3 linked regions of the Arabidopsis thaliana genome follow. The protein of the gene in region 1 interacts with the protein of each later gene in a biochemical or structural test. Each region holds a gene or a part of one and is shown on either strand. Other genes may lie near its edges.

Region 1 (3,957 bases):
ATTGGAGTGTTAGGGTTTAAAATTTGTAATCGACATGGTTTCTTGTTTTCTTGTTTAAGTTTGATTAGTAGTCTCCCCTGTAAATCATCTGTTTTTTACATGCGGTCTTGTTGACTATCTACAGATAGACACAAAGGACATACTCTTCATATGTGGTGGTGCTTTTGTAGACATTGAAAAGACTATCTCAGAGAGGTCTGACTGATGAACATATTTCAAATTCCTCCGTTTTTTGTTTCTATCCTCTAAACTGAATTGCGTTATAAGCATATGAGTGTGTTTTTTTTGGTTCCAGGCGCCATGATTCTTCAATAGGGTTTGGTGCTCCTGTACGTGCCAACATGAGGGCTGGTGGTGTTACAAACGCCGCTGTTGCATCAAACCTAATGGAAACTGTAGGTCTTTTCATCTCTTCACTCACCAAATGTTGGGTGTTCTTCTACTTGTTTTGGTTTGTATCGAAGTTTGAAATGAGATGTTTGCTGTTGCAGGTGGAAAGCAGTGACCTGATTGCTTATGGTTTGATTCCTGAATTTGTTGGACGATTTCCAGTTCTCGTCAGTTTGTCTGCTTTGACTGAGAACCAGCTTATGCAGGTACTAGGAATGACATAAATATGTGACATTGTGATTTTTGCATTACTAGACCATGTTCATAGAATATGCAGTAATATCATTGGATTGCAGGTGTTGACAGAACCCAAGAACGCTCTTGGAAAGCAATACAAAAAGATGTACCAGATGAATAGTGTAACTACTAATCTCTCTATCTCTATCTCTCTCCTTCTGCTCCAAAGCTTGAGACAAGTCTCCATCTTCTCTTTCTTCAGGTAAAGCTGCATTTCACAGAAAGCGCACTGCGGCTTATAGCTAGAAAAGCAATAACGAAAAACACGGGTGCTCGTGGCTTAAGAGCTCTTCTAGAAAGCATCCTCATGGACTCTATGTACGAGGTAAATACACCTCTTATTACTTTCAAATCCGTTTTGCTAAAAATCCGTATTCAAACTCTTTTCACATTTCTGCAAAACATTTGTTTTTCTCAGATTCCGGACGAGGGTACAGGCAGCGATATGATAGAAGCGGTTGTGGTGGATGAAGAAGCAGTTGAAGGAGAAGGGCGTCGAGGCTCTGGAGCTAAGATTCTCCGTGGTAAAGGAGCATTGGCTCGGTATCTCTCTGAAACCAATTCCAAAGATTCCCCACAGGTAAAAACCGAGCTTTTACTTAACCGATAACAACTGTCTGGTTTGTTTGATAACCTCATTATCTGAATTGCTTGGCTTAATTGTTGCAGACGACAAAGGAGGGATCGGATGGAGAAACTGAAGTGGAGGCAGAGATTCCATCTGTTGTAGCAAGTATGTAATGATCACCACCATCATCATCATCATCATCAGAAAATGTGGTGAATGTATCTTTGTATGCGTAATATTTACCGTTCTTTGTACATAAATGAAGGAAAGAAAAACAAAGTTGGATAAGAAAACACAAGGATGCACAACTTGCACATTGATAAATGATGATGTAACAAACTTTTTATCGTATGCAATGTCCATCTTTTCATTGATGTATCTTATAATTCAAAGTATTCAACAAGAAAACGCTCTTGTAACAAATAATCTTATTAGGAAAATTCAAACACCCATGTGTCAGATTCTAATAACCGTCGGATTAAAATCCAACCAAAAAGCTTTAAATCTGGACGGGTATAATTAATTCCTCAAACTTCTTCTCTGGAAGAACAAAAAAAGATGAAACAAAGCCAACGAAGAAAAGCACAATTTTGGCGAAACCCAGTGAGAGAGAGACAGAGAGAAAGGAGGGAAATTCCAGCTTCCCTTTTCTCTCTCGTTCTTGCTCTTTTGATCTGCGTGAAAAGAAAGAATTTTTATTTTCCCGACAGAGAAAAGTCCCAATTTTTAAAATTAGGACTTTTTGATTTTCGAAAATTTTGGTGTTAATGGAAACAGATAGTATCGATTCCGTGATCGATGACGATGAGATCCATCAAAAACACCAATTCTCATCAACCAAGTCTCAGGGAGGAGCCACCGTGGTAATCTCTCCGGCTACAAGCGTTTACGAGCTCCTTGAATGCCCTGTCTGCACCAATTCAATGTACCCACCAATCCATCAGGTTCGTATCTCATCATCTCCTAACATTGGAGGGTTGAGAAAGATCTTATTGCTTCTTACGAATATAAAGTTCCAATTTTTATGATCGTTATCTTCAAATGATCTGATTTGTTTATCATTGCTATGGTATGTTACTATTGAGTTTCTTGAGGGTTTATGGATGTTTTGATATATGTATGAGTGAAAAAGTTTCTTCTTTTGTAGTGTCATAATGGACATACTTTATGTTCAACCTGTAAATCAAGAGTGCATAATCGCTCTTGAGAAAGTAGCTGAGTCGCTTGAGTTACCGTGCAAGTATTACAATCTTGGATGCCTTGGGATTTTCCCTTATTACAGTAAACTAAAGCATGAGTCTCAATGTAACTTTAGACCTTATAGTTGTCCATATGCTGGCTCGGAGTGTGCTGCTGTAGGTGACATTACTTTCCTTGTTGCTCATTTAAGAGATGATCATAAAGTCGATATGCATACTGGATGTACGTTTAATCATCGTTATGTTAAATCTAATCCACGCGAAGTAGAGAACGCTACTTGGATGCTAACGGTTAGCATTGTTCTTGTTTATGATTTACGAGTTCTTCAGTTGTCTGAGATTCTGAGGGGGTTCTTTGTTATATTGTTTTGTAGGTGTTTCAATGTTTTGGTCAATACTTTTGTCTTCATTTTGAAGCGTTTCAGCTCGGTATGGCTCCAGTTTACATGGCGTTTCTGAGATTCATGGGCGATGAAGATGACGCACGAAACTATACATACAGTTTAGAAGTTGGAGGCAGTGGGAGAAAACAGACATGGGAAGGGACACCAAGAAGTGTCAGAGATAGTCACAGGAAAGTCAGAGACAGTCATGACGGTCTTATAATCCAAAGAAACATGGCACTCTTCTTTTCCGGTGGAGACAAGAAAGAACTGAAACTTAGAGTCACTGGAAGAATCTGGAAAGAGCAACAGAATCCAGATTCTGGTGTTTGCATAACCTCTATGTGTAGTAGCTGAATCAAAATCAGCCAACCCTTCAAACCTATCTTAAGGTGTTCGTTCGATTTCTTCAATTCGATTTTGTTTCGGGTTTGTGTGTTGTTTTGGTCCAGAATCCAGATAGCTTCTTTACATTCAAAAGTGTATTTAGAGAAGTAAAAAGAGTTGTTCCATTTGCCAGAAATGTGCAGAAGGTCACAAAAGTTGCAATAACTTCCAAAGATTGAATATTTCCATAAATGTATATATTCACATGGTAAGATCTGAGCAAAGATCTAATACAGTAACATATTCAAATCATATCTTTATTTCATTCAAGAAGATGTCCTGTCATATAATAAGTACACTTAAAATGGCTTATGGACTATATTACAGATCTTGAGTTTGTACATAAAATCATTCGTATACGTAACATACAAGGCTGAGACAATCTATTGTGACAACCCGGAGAAGAAGGACACACCGGTGGATGGCAACCACGAAGAACCAGAAATGAACTGAGCCACCGTAAACTTACTAGCCTCTACCGTTGAGGTAATAACATGATAACCAGGCCATTTGACTCGTTGACCAATTCCTGAACCCAACCCTTTGTTCATATACTCACCATAGTACAACGAGTCCAATGCAAACGGACCATTCCACTCCAACCATCCTCGCGGGTCAATATGGTCACCCATATCCGACATCATGTACACAACTCTAGAATACAACTTCCACGGACGGCCGAGATACGTCGGATAACTACCCTTAGAGGCTTCAAGATCCGGTGTTGCTAGTAGCTTACAAGCATGAATCGAAATCCCCGTATTCTGATTCGGATCTTTTCGGTTCTGAGCCG
Region 2 (6,614 bases), on another chromosome or scaffold:
GCTCTCTTGAGCCTTTACAAGAGCAGAGACGTTAATGATTGGATCATAGATGATAGATTCGTTATCACCGTCATCATATACGCTGTAAGTTACAAACATCATATCTTTATAAATTAACTTTTTAAAAATTATAAGATTAGTATGTAAGAACTTAAGATATTAATGTGGGTTTTTTTATGTGGTTTTTTTTTATCATATATTATAGGGAGTGGTAGGACAAGCAATGACGACGGTTGCAACAACATGGGGGATTAAAAAATTAGGAGCTGTGTTCGCATCGGCGTTTTTCCCACTTACTCTCATTTCGGCTACTCTATTTGATTTCCTCATTTTACACACTCCTTTATACCTTGGAAGGTATCTTCTTCGATAATCTCTATCAAATTAATTTTGTCTAGGCATAACACTAATTACAACATTAAAACTTTTGGTCTACAGTGTGATTGGATCACTAGTGACCATAACGGGTCTCTACATGTTCTTGTGGGGGAAGAACAAAGAAACGGAATCATCAACTGCATTGTCTTCAGGAATGGATAACGAAGCTCAATATACTACTCCTAATAAGGATAACGACTCTAAGTCGCCCGTTTAATTTAATTATATTGTTGTTAATGTATGTTTCAAATAACTGTTATGTCCTAGTTAATGTTTAAGGAGAGGTAATGAGAGATAAAATTTTATAATTCCAAACATCAACGTAGAGATTTGTGAAATATTTAAATCCGGTTTGTTTGGTTATTTTGGAATAATTTCGGTTATTTCAATTAGATTCGGGTAGTTCAGTTCTTCGGTTAGTAACAAAAACTGGTCTATTGTTTTTTGGTTAACCTAGAACCGAACCGAACTAACCAAAGTTCTCGGTAACCTTTTGTAGTGGCTTCCTGACCGATGAGGCCGTCAACTTCAAAAAATATTGCAACTAAGCTCTGCTCCAACATTAGAGTATCTATAACTATGTTAAACGCTTCTGCTTTAAGCAAAACACAGTTGTAAGCTGGAATCTAAAAAAATGAGTGTAATGATGTTTGCTGAATTCCATAAATAAATACTACATGCTTCGGTTAAGACTTAAGAGTAATTAATGTTCCTTAATTTCTACAAATGTTATATAAGCAAGTTGACCAAAGTTCTCGATGATAATTTGTTGAAATTTTGTATAGGCATTGCATGATATTATATGAAAAGATGAAGATTTTTATACAGACGCAAGTTCCCCGAGCAGTCCAAGCTTGTCGGGTTTAATTCAACTATGTTAATACGCAAATTTATATAGAATAGGCGTAAAAGTGAGGCCCATACAATGTCTTATTACAAGCCCAGATCCAGCATAGCCAATACGTAGCAGTACACCATCACAGCTGGCACCGTACCCACTTGTTTAGTCGTCCAAGTTTGTACCAATAATCGTTTACACGTAAGCAATTGTGGACCACCACACTCACTTTTACCTACGTGAGCTTCACATTGAAGCTTCTGGCTCGTAGAGAAGCAACTTGAGATATACCAAAAAGTGCAGTAGACAGCCACTACAATATCACCACGTGTCGATCTGCGATGACTTCTGTTTTTTCCATTTATACCCTTGGTGCTGTTCCAGCCTCAAATAAACTTTTCAATTAAAATTTTTCCAAAAATTAGGGGAAAAATTGTTGTGGCTGAGATTGCTTCTGGCTTCTCTTCTTCTTCTTCCAGTCTTCTTCAGCCTAAAACAGTCTTCCTTCTTCTTCTTCTTCTTCTTCTTCTTCTTCTTCTTCAGTTATCTTCTTCCTTCTTCTCTCTGTTTTTTAAATTTATTTTTAGAGATTTTTTTTTGTTTTGCTTCCGATTTGATTATTTCCGGGAACGATGACTTCTCCGGGGAGTTCCCGGTGAGATGATAAGTCAGATTGCATACTTGTCTCCTCCATGGCTACTCTCAAGGGTATAACAGTTTACATTATGAGCAGTTTCTAGGATTCCTATAACATACTAAGATCTCTGTTTGGCTGCTGAGAAACTTATAGAAGCGATTAACTAAATCTTATTAGCTCTAAAAGTTAGCATAAATGATACGAATCTGGTGATTGATTACTGATATGAAGATTTGTGAAGGTTTTGGCTGCGGTGGATTCGTTTGGGTGAGGCTTTTGTGAATAATAATAAAGGGAATTCTTTTGAGTTCTGCTGGAGAAGCAGCGACTGTTTCACGGTGGACTTTGAAAAGATTTCTCTTTTGAATTTCGCTCATCACTCTTATCTTAGTGTTTGTGGATAAATATTTCTCATAAAGTACTTTCTCCTTTGCAGTTTCTCTAGAATCTAAAGAGGTTATCACAACGGCTTTGCAATTTGAAAACTTTCATGTTTGGGGAGATCAAAGATGGTTTCTTTTTTATACTTTACTTGTTAGAGAGGATTTGAAGCAGCGAATAGCTGCACCGGTCCTGTTATGGATACTAATACATCTGGAGAAGAATTATTAGCTAAGGTACTACTACTAATGAAATAAGATTGGTGTTTTTTTGTTTGAGAGATTTGGACTGTTGTTGTGTGAAGATTTGATTTTCTTTTGGGTTTTCAAATGTTTAGGCAAGAAAGCCATATACAATAACAAAGCAGCGAGAGCGATGGACTGAGGATGAGCATGAGAGGTTTCTAGAAGCCTTGAGGCTTTATGGAAGAGCTTGGCAACGAATTGAAGGTCGAAAGTTTATCTTTTGAATGTTTAGTTTGAACTCTTTGAGATTTTATATTCCTTTGTTTAGGAGTGTCTTTATCTCCTCTTGATTGGGAGATTCCTTCTTTTCTTTTCATTTTGTGTGCAGAACATATTGGGACAAAGACTGCTGTTCAGATCAGAAGTCATGCACAAAAGTTCTTCACAAAGGTAAGTTGATGATCCTTTCAGATCTTTTTAAAACACTTTCGTTATCTTGTGTAAAGGTACCATTTTTTCATATCGATCTATGACTATGTTTAGAAGTTGCCTGTCACTGTCTGGAAAAGATGATAGAAGGTTCTTCTTATTCTTCCTTTTCTCTAATTGCTTCAACTAGAAATTAGGCGTCTAAGTAGAGTGTGTTTTGCTAAGTAGAGTTGGTTGGTTCCGAGGATTGCATCTCGATCGTTTTTTATCTTTTTCATTTACTCTGTTCAACTAAACTTAACATTAGATTGGTCTGTCCAAACTTACTGTTAGAAAAAACTCTACAGAGAGCTTTCTTCTCTGAGACCATAAGATAGGTCCAAATTAACATAACTAGCGTTGCATTTGGATGACACAATTGTCCCATATTCACTAAAGTCGATGAAATAATGGGATTGCATGAATTCTTTTAGCCATCCATATGGAAACCAAACCTCCTTGCCCTATAGGACAGGACATGAAGTAACTCTATCATCTCTACCCCGAAAAATTCGGGTCAGTATAAGACTTTTTTCAACCTTGGTGATGTGGTCAATTTCATGAATCTCAGGATTTCACATCTGAGCTGCATTTTTCCATCTCCAGTTTGGAAAAGCTCACAGTTTTTGGTTCACATTTCAGTTGGAGAAAGAGGCTGAAGTTAAAGGCATCCCTGTTTGCCAAGCTTTGGACATAGAAATTCCGCCTCCTCGTCCTAAACGAAAACCCAATACTCCTTATCCTCGAAAGCCTGGGAACAACGGTACATCTTCCTCTCAAGTATCATCAGCAAAAGATGCAAAACTTGTTTCATCGGCCTCTTCTTCACAGTTGAATCAGGCGTTCTTGGATTTGGAAAAAATGCCGTTCTCTGAGGTTTATTCCTGATCTTTCTCTTCTTCATTTTATCATTTTGGTGGTCTTGTGATAGACTTCTTATGTTTTATTTTCTGGTTAGAAAACATCAACTGGAAAAGAAAATCAAGATGAGAATTGCTCGGGTGTTTCTACTGTGAACAAGTATCCCTTACCAACGAAAGTAAGTCTAAGAAAGCTACAAAATTGTAGTCGAAGAATCTGATGAATGCTTTCAAGTGCATGACAAATTATTTGTTCCATTCTGATTTTTAGCAGGTAAGTGGCGACATTGAAACAAGTAAGACCTCAACTGTGGACAACGCGGTTCAAGATGTTCCCAAGAAGAACAAAGACAAAGATGGTAACGATGGTACTACTGTGCACAGCATGCAAAACTACCCTTGGCATTTCCACGCAGATATTGTGAACGGGAATATAGCAAAATGCCCTCAAAATCATCCCTCAGGTATGGTATCTCAAGACTTCATGTTTCATCCTATGAGAGAAGAAACTCACGGGCACGCAAATCTTCAAGCTACAACAGCATCTGCTACTACTACAGCTTCTCATCAAGCGTTTCCAGCTTGTCATTCACAGGATGATTACCGTTCGTTTCTCCAGATATCATCTACTTTCTCCAATCTTATTATGTCAACTCTCCTACAGAATCCTGCAGCTCATGCTGCAGCTACATTCGCTGCTTCGGTCTGGCCTTATGCGAGTGTCGGGAATTCTGGTGATTCATCAACCCCAATGAGCTCTTCTCCTCCAAGTATAACTGCCATTGCCGCTGCTACAGTAGCTGCTGCAACTGCTTGGTGGGCTTCTCATGGACTTCTTCCTGTATGCGCTCCAGCTCCAATAACATGTGTTCCATTCTCAACTGTTGCAGTTCCAACTCCAGCAATGACTGAAATGGATACCGTTGAAAATACTCAACCGTTTGAGAAACAAAACACAGCTCTGCAAGATCAAAACTTGGCTTCGAAATCTCCAGCTTCATCATCTGATGATTCAGATGAGACTGGAGTAACCAAGCTAAATGCCGACTCAAAAACCAATGATGATAAAATTGAGGAGGTTGTTGTTACTGCCGCTGTGCATGACTCAAACACTGCCCAGAAGAAAAATCTTGTGGACCGCTCATCCTGTGGCTCAAATACACCTTCAGGGAGTGACGCAGAAACTGATGCATTAGATAAAATGGAGAAAGATAAAGAGGATGTGAAGGAGACAGATGAGAATCAGCCAGATGTTATTGAGTTAAATAACCGTAAGATTAAAATGAGAGACAACAACAGCAACAACAATGCAACTACTGATTCGTGGAAGGAAGTCTCCGAAGAGGTAAAACAAAAACCAATGATTCATGGATATTGCAGAGTTCTTCTGGGAACTAACACTATCAAAATATTTTCAGGGTCGTATAGCGTTTCAGGCTCTCTTTGCAAGAGAAAGATTGCCTCAAAGCTTTTCGCCTCCTCAAGTGGCAGAGAATGTGAATAGAAAACAAAGTGACACGTCAATGCCATTGGCTCCTAATTTCAAAAGCCAGGATTCTTGTGCTGCAGACCAAGAAGGAGTAGTAATGATCGGTGTTGGAACATGCAAGAGTCTTAAAACGAGACAGACAGGATTTAAGCCATACAAGAGATGTTCAATGGAAGTGAAAGAGAGCCAAGTTGGGAACATAAACAATCAAAGTGATGAAAAAGTCTGCAAAAGGCTTCGATTGGAAGGAGAAGCTTCTACATGACAGACTTGGAGGTAAAAAAAAAACATCCACATTTTTATCAATATCTTTAAATCTAGTGTTAGTAGTTTGCTTCTCCAATCTTTATGAAAGAGACTTTTAATTTTCCTTCCGAACATTTCTTTGGTCATGTCAGGTTCTGTACCATATTACCCCATGTCTTGTCTCTTGTCTCTGTTTGTGTATGCTACTTGTGGTCTATATGTCATCTGCTACTACTGTTAATTAACCATTAAGCAATGGATTTGTCTTTATTCTTCTTTTTAAAAATTGTGGATATTGATTGATGAGATCATAAATAGTTTATAATGATAAAAGATGAACTGTACAAAAGTTACAACTTAGAAAGTTTTGTCTTTTGGTGTTTCTTCATAATGATTCTCTCTGTTTGTTTCAAACTTGAAGGCGCTCGTTGCCCAACGCCAAATGCCCAAAGGTGCTAGGCTGGGCCTTAAAGATTTTACTCACACTACTTGGGCCTACATTACAACATTTTCCCTATTACAAGCTTAAGTAATAGAGGCCTAAAGAAGGCTTATATTGTGTAGCTAGTTTATACAATATTTCAATCTCTTAATTTGGTTTACTGATGAATGAGTAGATATACAATTTTTTTGTTCTCACTGAATGAGCCATATCCTTGCTACCAAACCAAATTATTTGTGAAAAATGTAATGCAAGTATCCTACATAGATTATAGGAGTGACCGCAAAAACACAAACTATGTTTCGTAATAAAAAATAAAGTATTTTTAAAAAGATGTAAATCTTTGTAAATAATTGAGTGGTAGTGTAGTGAGTGTTACGATAATATAAAAGTTTGATCCGTATATCTCGGTGGTGACTCATATATACATTTTACAATCACTTGCTAGACCAACGGGCTTCACTTGTTTCTCTCCCAAAGTTTCTTCATCATCCTTGCGATAAAGAAAACAACAATCGGCTGTTTCGTTTCGATCCAAAGGTACGTTTTTTTTTCTTTTGTCATCGTTCTAAGATCATCAAAGTTTGATGCTTTTCCATGTTTAATCTTCTGGGTATTTTGTTGCTTCAAATCTCAATCATCCATCGAGTCTATAGAGAAAAAGTGAACAGATTTGGTATACATCTTTTC
Region 3 (4,796 bases), on another chromosome or scaffold:
TAGTTGAATGATACTTTACCTAATACGATATTAAGATGTATTTTCTCTTATTGTTCGAAGGCATATCCGAATAAAATTTTGGCATGCACTGTCTTTTCCTACGGTGATAAGCCTTGATCCGTTAGAACCCTCAGCCGAAATAAACTTATCAAAAAAACAAAAACAATAATTCGTATGCATGGGCTAAAACATACAATATTGTATCATAATGGAATGCACAATACCGCACATAATCCAAGAACTTTGGTTCTATCCAATCGAACGGAGAGGAACTATAACTCCGATCAAAGTACAGTTGAAATTAAATAGAAACTCAAATAGCTTTTGTCTCTATCCAATATTATCAAAAAGTTAATAGAATCGAAGTAGTTTGACCAAGTCAACTACAAACAAAGCTTTTGTTAGTTGTTGTTGTGGCCATCACTTCTACTTCTCCAATGTCACAAACGACAACATCGAACCCAATACTTTCACTACTCTTTCATTGAATCTTACATCTATATATATGGACCAGCTTCTTCTTCCTCTTCATTATTCAATAATCTCTAATAAACATGATTTTAGTTAGTTAACATTCATTATTGTTGTTCTAATCGCTAATAAATATTTCAAATCATTTAACGACTACTAGCATGTAAACATTAATTACGATGATCTGAGGTAATGGCGAAAACGACACTGGCTTTGTTTTATACACGAGGCACAGCAATGAAATAGACATATCCACAATTAATGGGCAAGTTTGAGTGTTTGTATTTCCAAAATCCATGTATAAAAATGACCATTGGTTAATTAATTAGCAAAACTTATTCACCGATTTTATTAAACATATAAATCGTGGAATTTAGTATAGGGCAAGATGAATGGTCCACGTCTTTGGGCCACGCGGGCCTTTCAAATCCAGCTGTTCACATGAATTATTCTCATTTGATTTTACTCGGATTATATGTTGTTTTTAAAACTAAGCAATTTGTGTGTCTATGACTACGTCGACAAATGATTATACAATTGGCGTGTATTTTAAAGACGGAGATTACAATGCGATACCATAAACAATAATCAGAAAAAACTGACATGTGTTTCATAGTATAAACTAATCCTACTAAAACTATTTCGAAATAATTAAACCATTCAGACACGTAAAAAATAAATCAAAACATTAATATACTAAAAGAAATGAACCAATGGAAGCTAGTATTACATTCTTTAATTGTTGTCTCCTGTTTCATGGCAGCCATGCCACTGTTTATGTATACAGAGAGCATAATGCGTTATCAAGAAATTAAAAACCAATTGACTAAACCATTTTAACATTTTCATTATCTTCTTATGTTTTGTAACATGCAATAATATAGATGATATATATCATAGAGAATGTAGACTTTTTCATATTATTATCTATGTGTATCCTCAGCTATTAATTCTGTCTAGGCAAAAATATGTGAGTCTGTTTGGAAATGATTATTGTTTTGGATAGAGTACGTAATTAATAATTGATTTGAAATGGAAATTAAATACTAACATATGATTATAGTATAAAGTTATAAAAATGATATATATAGAAGTTGACGGCTTTGGGTGGGCAATTACTACTTAAACCAAGGGTCTTCCTCCTCGGACACACCCAAATGATCCCAATAATTATTCTTCTCTTTATCTCTCTTTTCCTCTTAACCATCCACTAATCAAACACTAAAACCTAGAAAAAAAAAGGATCAAATCATGGAGACGGAAGAAGAGATGAAGGAAAGTAGTATAAGCATGGTGGAGGCAAAGTTGCCTCCGGGATTCAGATTTCACCCGAAGGACGATGAGCTTGTCTGCGATTACTTGATGAGACGATCGCTTCACAATAATCATCGACCACCTCTTGTCCTGATCCAAGTCGATCTCAACAAGTGTGAGCCTTGGGACATCCCAAGTACGTTTTCATTCATTCTTGACAACAGTATCTTTATTGATCCATATATCTCTGTTTTACTTTGATATGGTTGGTCCATATAGAAGATTATGTCATGATCTTCTTTCGTGTTCATGGTTTTCTAGAAACAAAACTTTAGAAGTTAGTTAATTAATCCATATCTACTAAAACAAAAGTTGGAACCAATAAACTTTAAGATGATGATGTCACCTCATTTATTTTGCATCCAGTTTATACAATGTAGTCTATTTATCACAAAAACCTTATTCAAACATATAACAATACTAGTCGATTTATATAATGTTATGGATTGGGGTAAAATTAATACACATATATACATACTTTATAAGTCTTTTATTTTCATGATCAGATGATTACAATTTATAAGAAATTTACATATATTACGTAATAATATGAAATTAATTCGAGAGGCATAGATAATTGTATACGAGAAGTTGACACTCTTGGCGTTATCCTCAACCAAATTCTTGAAAAAAAAGCTTTGGATAAAATAAAATAAGAGTAACGACGAAAAAGTCAATATCTCGATTTTGTTGGTTTATAGCCTTTAGAGTGTGACATATTTTAAGTTTCAAAATGTAAAATTCGTTGGGTTTGATCAAAATTAGTATTCTTATTCTCTCCTTTGCTTACGCCTCTAATGGGTCCTGATTAGTTTTCAAATCAATGTTAAATTGACCCTTCAACTACATAATAATTATTCAATGCTTAGTCGTCATTCATTTGATCAAAGATATTTTTCTTTATTTCAAACAAAATTCCACAAAAAAAAAAAAAAAATCAAAATCCTACTCATTTACACGCGTTGGATTCCTATTCGTTGTTTTGGTTGAATAATCACATGTTGACATGCTTTAGTTCAATCCCTCACGGATGTATCTTTTATCTATACTATTAATCGTAAATCCTAAAATAGCCGATATATTTGAACATGGCATATCTTATAAAGAAAAAAATTCTCGTTATGAGATTCATTAAACTTTTCTATTTATTTTCAATAATATCCTACAATTTTTTTGTTGATTAACCAAGTTAAGTTTTAAAAGCTAAATGTTTCTAAACAAAAGGACAAAATTTATACTATTGCGAGACAAAAAAGTTGGCGCTAACATTTAATCACATGATCAGTTTCATTATCCTGTAGTGTATAATACAACTAAGCGTGTTTGTGTGTATGTTTCAAACAAATGATTAGAAATGGCATGCGTGGGAGGGAAGGATTGGTATTTCTACAGCCAAAGAGACCGAAAATACGCGACGGGGCTGAGAACTAACCGAGCAACGGCCACCGGATATTGGAAAGCCACCGGCAAAGACAGAACCATTCTAAGAAAGGGTAAGCTAGTTGGGATGAGGAAGACATTGGTTTTCTATCAAGGTCGAGCTCCTCGAGGCCGTAAAACCGATTGGGTCATGCACGAATTCCGTCTCCAAGGATCTCATCATCCTCCCAATCATTCTCTGAGCTCTCCAAAGGTATACACAGTTAAATAATCCAGTTATTGATCGTCAGTTAATCTCTTCTTAGCAAATCTGTAACGAGTAATATACGTGTTTATGTGTTGTTGAGGGAATCAGGAAGACTGGGTCTTGTGTAGGGTATTCCATAAGAATACGGAAGGAGTTATATGTAGAGACAACATGGGAAGCTGTTTTGATGAGACAGCCTCTGCATCGCTTCCTCCACTGATGGATCCTTACATCAACTTTGACCAAGAACCCTCTTCTTATCTCAGTGATGATCATCACTACATCATCAATGAGCACGTACCCTGCTTCTCCAATTTGTCACAGAACCAAACCTTAAACTCGAACCTAACCAACTCAGTCTCTGAACTCAAGATTCCATGCAAGAACCCTAACCCCTTGTTTACTGGTGGTTCAGCCTCAGCCACGCTCACAGGCCTCGACTCATTCTGTTCTTCAGATCAGATGGTTCTCAGAGCTCTACTCAGTCAGCTCACTAAGATTGATGGAAGCCTCGGGCCTAAAGAATCACAGAGTTATGGAGAAGGTAGCTCGGAGAGCCTCCTGACCGACATCGGTATTCCAAGCACTGTTTGGAATTGCTGATGATCGAGTGTAACGAGAGTTACTATTGCTATATTCCTATCCATGATTGGAACAATTCTTCGGGGGGAAATAACGTGTGCTTGTCTGATTGTACAAACATTTCCTCACTCTTGTACCCACGGTAGATTCATGTAAAATACCACTTATGACGCTAGACATACATATATTTCATCGTAGTTCCATTTGTTTCAAGGTATTAAGGACCTCTAGAACAATTGATCAAAAAGATAATATGAAACATCACTACCTGTGTACATGATGGGATAGGTGATTGAATAGCCAAGGCAGTGGTTCCTGAAACAGAATTTAAATAAATCAAAATCAATTTTCGGAACAAAAAACCTCAGAATAACAAGTTTTCACGGTAGGAACATATATTGAATCCTTTGAGTCTACCAATGCACATAGATTCATCAACGCATAGGCATTCATCTGGTATGTATCATCAAATAAGCAGAAACTGTCAAGATAATTTACATTGCTTACTTTCGTAGATGTTGCCAATTAAATCCATCAAAAAGCACTGCGACTGGCACTTTCATCGATAGAACTGCGCTGGCTATCATTTCTCAAGGAACAAAGTAGAGATTTAGGAAGATCACATGATATTCCGATATGTATCTGTTTCATCGGCCGATAGAGTTCACGAGGGAGATTGTCATAGTCATTTTACATGATTCTAGTAGAATCTTTATATAAATGTTTTTGTTACTCTGTTTTGAGGTATTGGGGACACACTCAATAGGGTACCTATAAGCAGCTAGAAGTCTGCAAAAGCTTT

Evidence for each region. Proteins that work in one complex are often made in the same cells at the same time.
Region 2: of the proteins of AT5G53360 (region 1) and LHY, one has a biochemical effect on the other in vitro, tested with the Arabidopsis thaliana proteins (one study listed by BioGRID).
Region 3: the proteins of AT5G53360 (region 1) and NAC1 form a complex in vitro, tested with the Arabidopsis thaliana proteins (one study listed by BioGRID).

The regions. Positions count from the first base shown.
Region 1 is NC_003076.8:21,646,136-21,650,092, forward strand, and holds AT5G53360 (TRAF-like superfamily protein), read left to right. Parts: upstream 1-1,687; 5' UTR 1,688-1,962; coding exon of another isoform or gene 1,963-2,139; intron 2,140-2,240; exon of another isoform or gene 2,241-2,342; 5' UTR 2,343-2,349; coding exon 2,350-2,685; intron 2,686-2,768; coding exon 2,769-3,134; 3' UTR 3,135-3,432; downstream 3,433-3,957. Other genes in the region: CLPX (CLP protease regulatory subunit X), read left to right, coding at 125-195, 296-395, 492-596, 687-749, 830-952, 1,046-1,207, 1,297-1,368; PMEPCRF (pectin methylesterase PCR fragment F), read right to left, coding at 3,548-3,957. UniProt on the Arabidopsis thaliana protein: E3 ubiquitin-protein ligase that mediates ubiquitination and subsequent proteasomal degradation of target proteins.
Region 2 is NC_003070.9:32,879-39,492, reverse strand, and holds LHY (Homeodomain-like superfamily protein), read left to right. Parts: upstream 1-1,735; 5' UTR 1,736-1,924; exon of another isoform or gene 1,925-2,094; 5' UTR 2,095-2,120; exon of another isoform or gene 2,121-2,289; 5' UTR 2,290-2,431; coding exon 2,432-2,470; intron 2,471-2,571; coding exon 2,572-2,683; intron 2,684-2,807; coding exon 2,808-2,869; intron 2,870-3,321; coding exon of another isoform or gene 3,322-3,403; intron 3,404-3,493; coding exon of another isoform or gene 3,494-3,529; coding exon 3,530-3,763; intron 3,764-3,845; coding exon 3,846-3,926; intron 3,927-4,018; coding exon 4,019-5,092; intron 5,093-5,165; coding exon 5,166-5,501; 3' UTR 5,502-5,512; exon of another isoform or gene 5,513-5,831; intron 5,832-5,903; 3' UTR 5,904-6,114; downstream 6,115-6,614. Other genes in the region: UMAMIT28 (nodulin MtN21 /EamA-like transporter family protein), read left to right, coding at 1-84, 206-357, 439-595. UniProt on the Arabidopsis thaliana protein: Transcription factor involved in the circadian clock. Binds to the promoter region of APRR1/TOC1 and TCP21/CHE to repress their transcription. Represses both CCA1 and itself.
Region 3 is NC_003070.9:20,946,071-20,950,866, reverse strand, and holds NAC1 (NAC domain containing protein 1), read left to right. Parts: upstream 1-1,585; 5' UTR 1,586-1,722; coding exon 1,723-1,921; exon of another isoform or gene 1,922-3,137; coding exon 3,138-3,418; intron 3,419-3,520; coding exon 3,521-4,015; 3' UTR 4,016-4,296; downstream 4,297-4,796. Other genes in the region: AT1G56000 (FAD/NAD(P)-binding oxidoreductase family protein), read right to left, coding at 4,766-4,796. UniProt on the Arabidopsis thaliana protein: Transcriptional activator that mediates auxin signaling to promote lateral root development. Activates the expression of two downstream auxin-responsive genes, DBP and AIR3.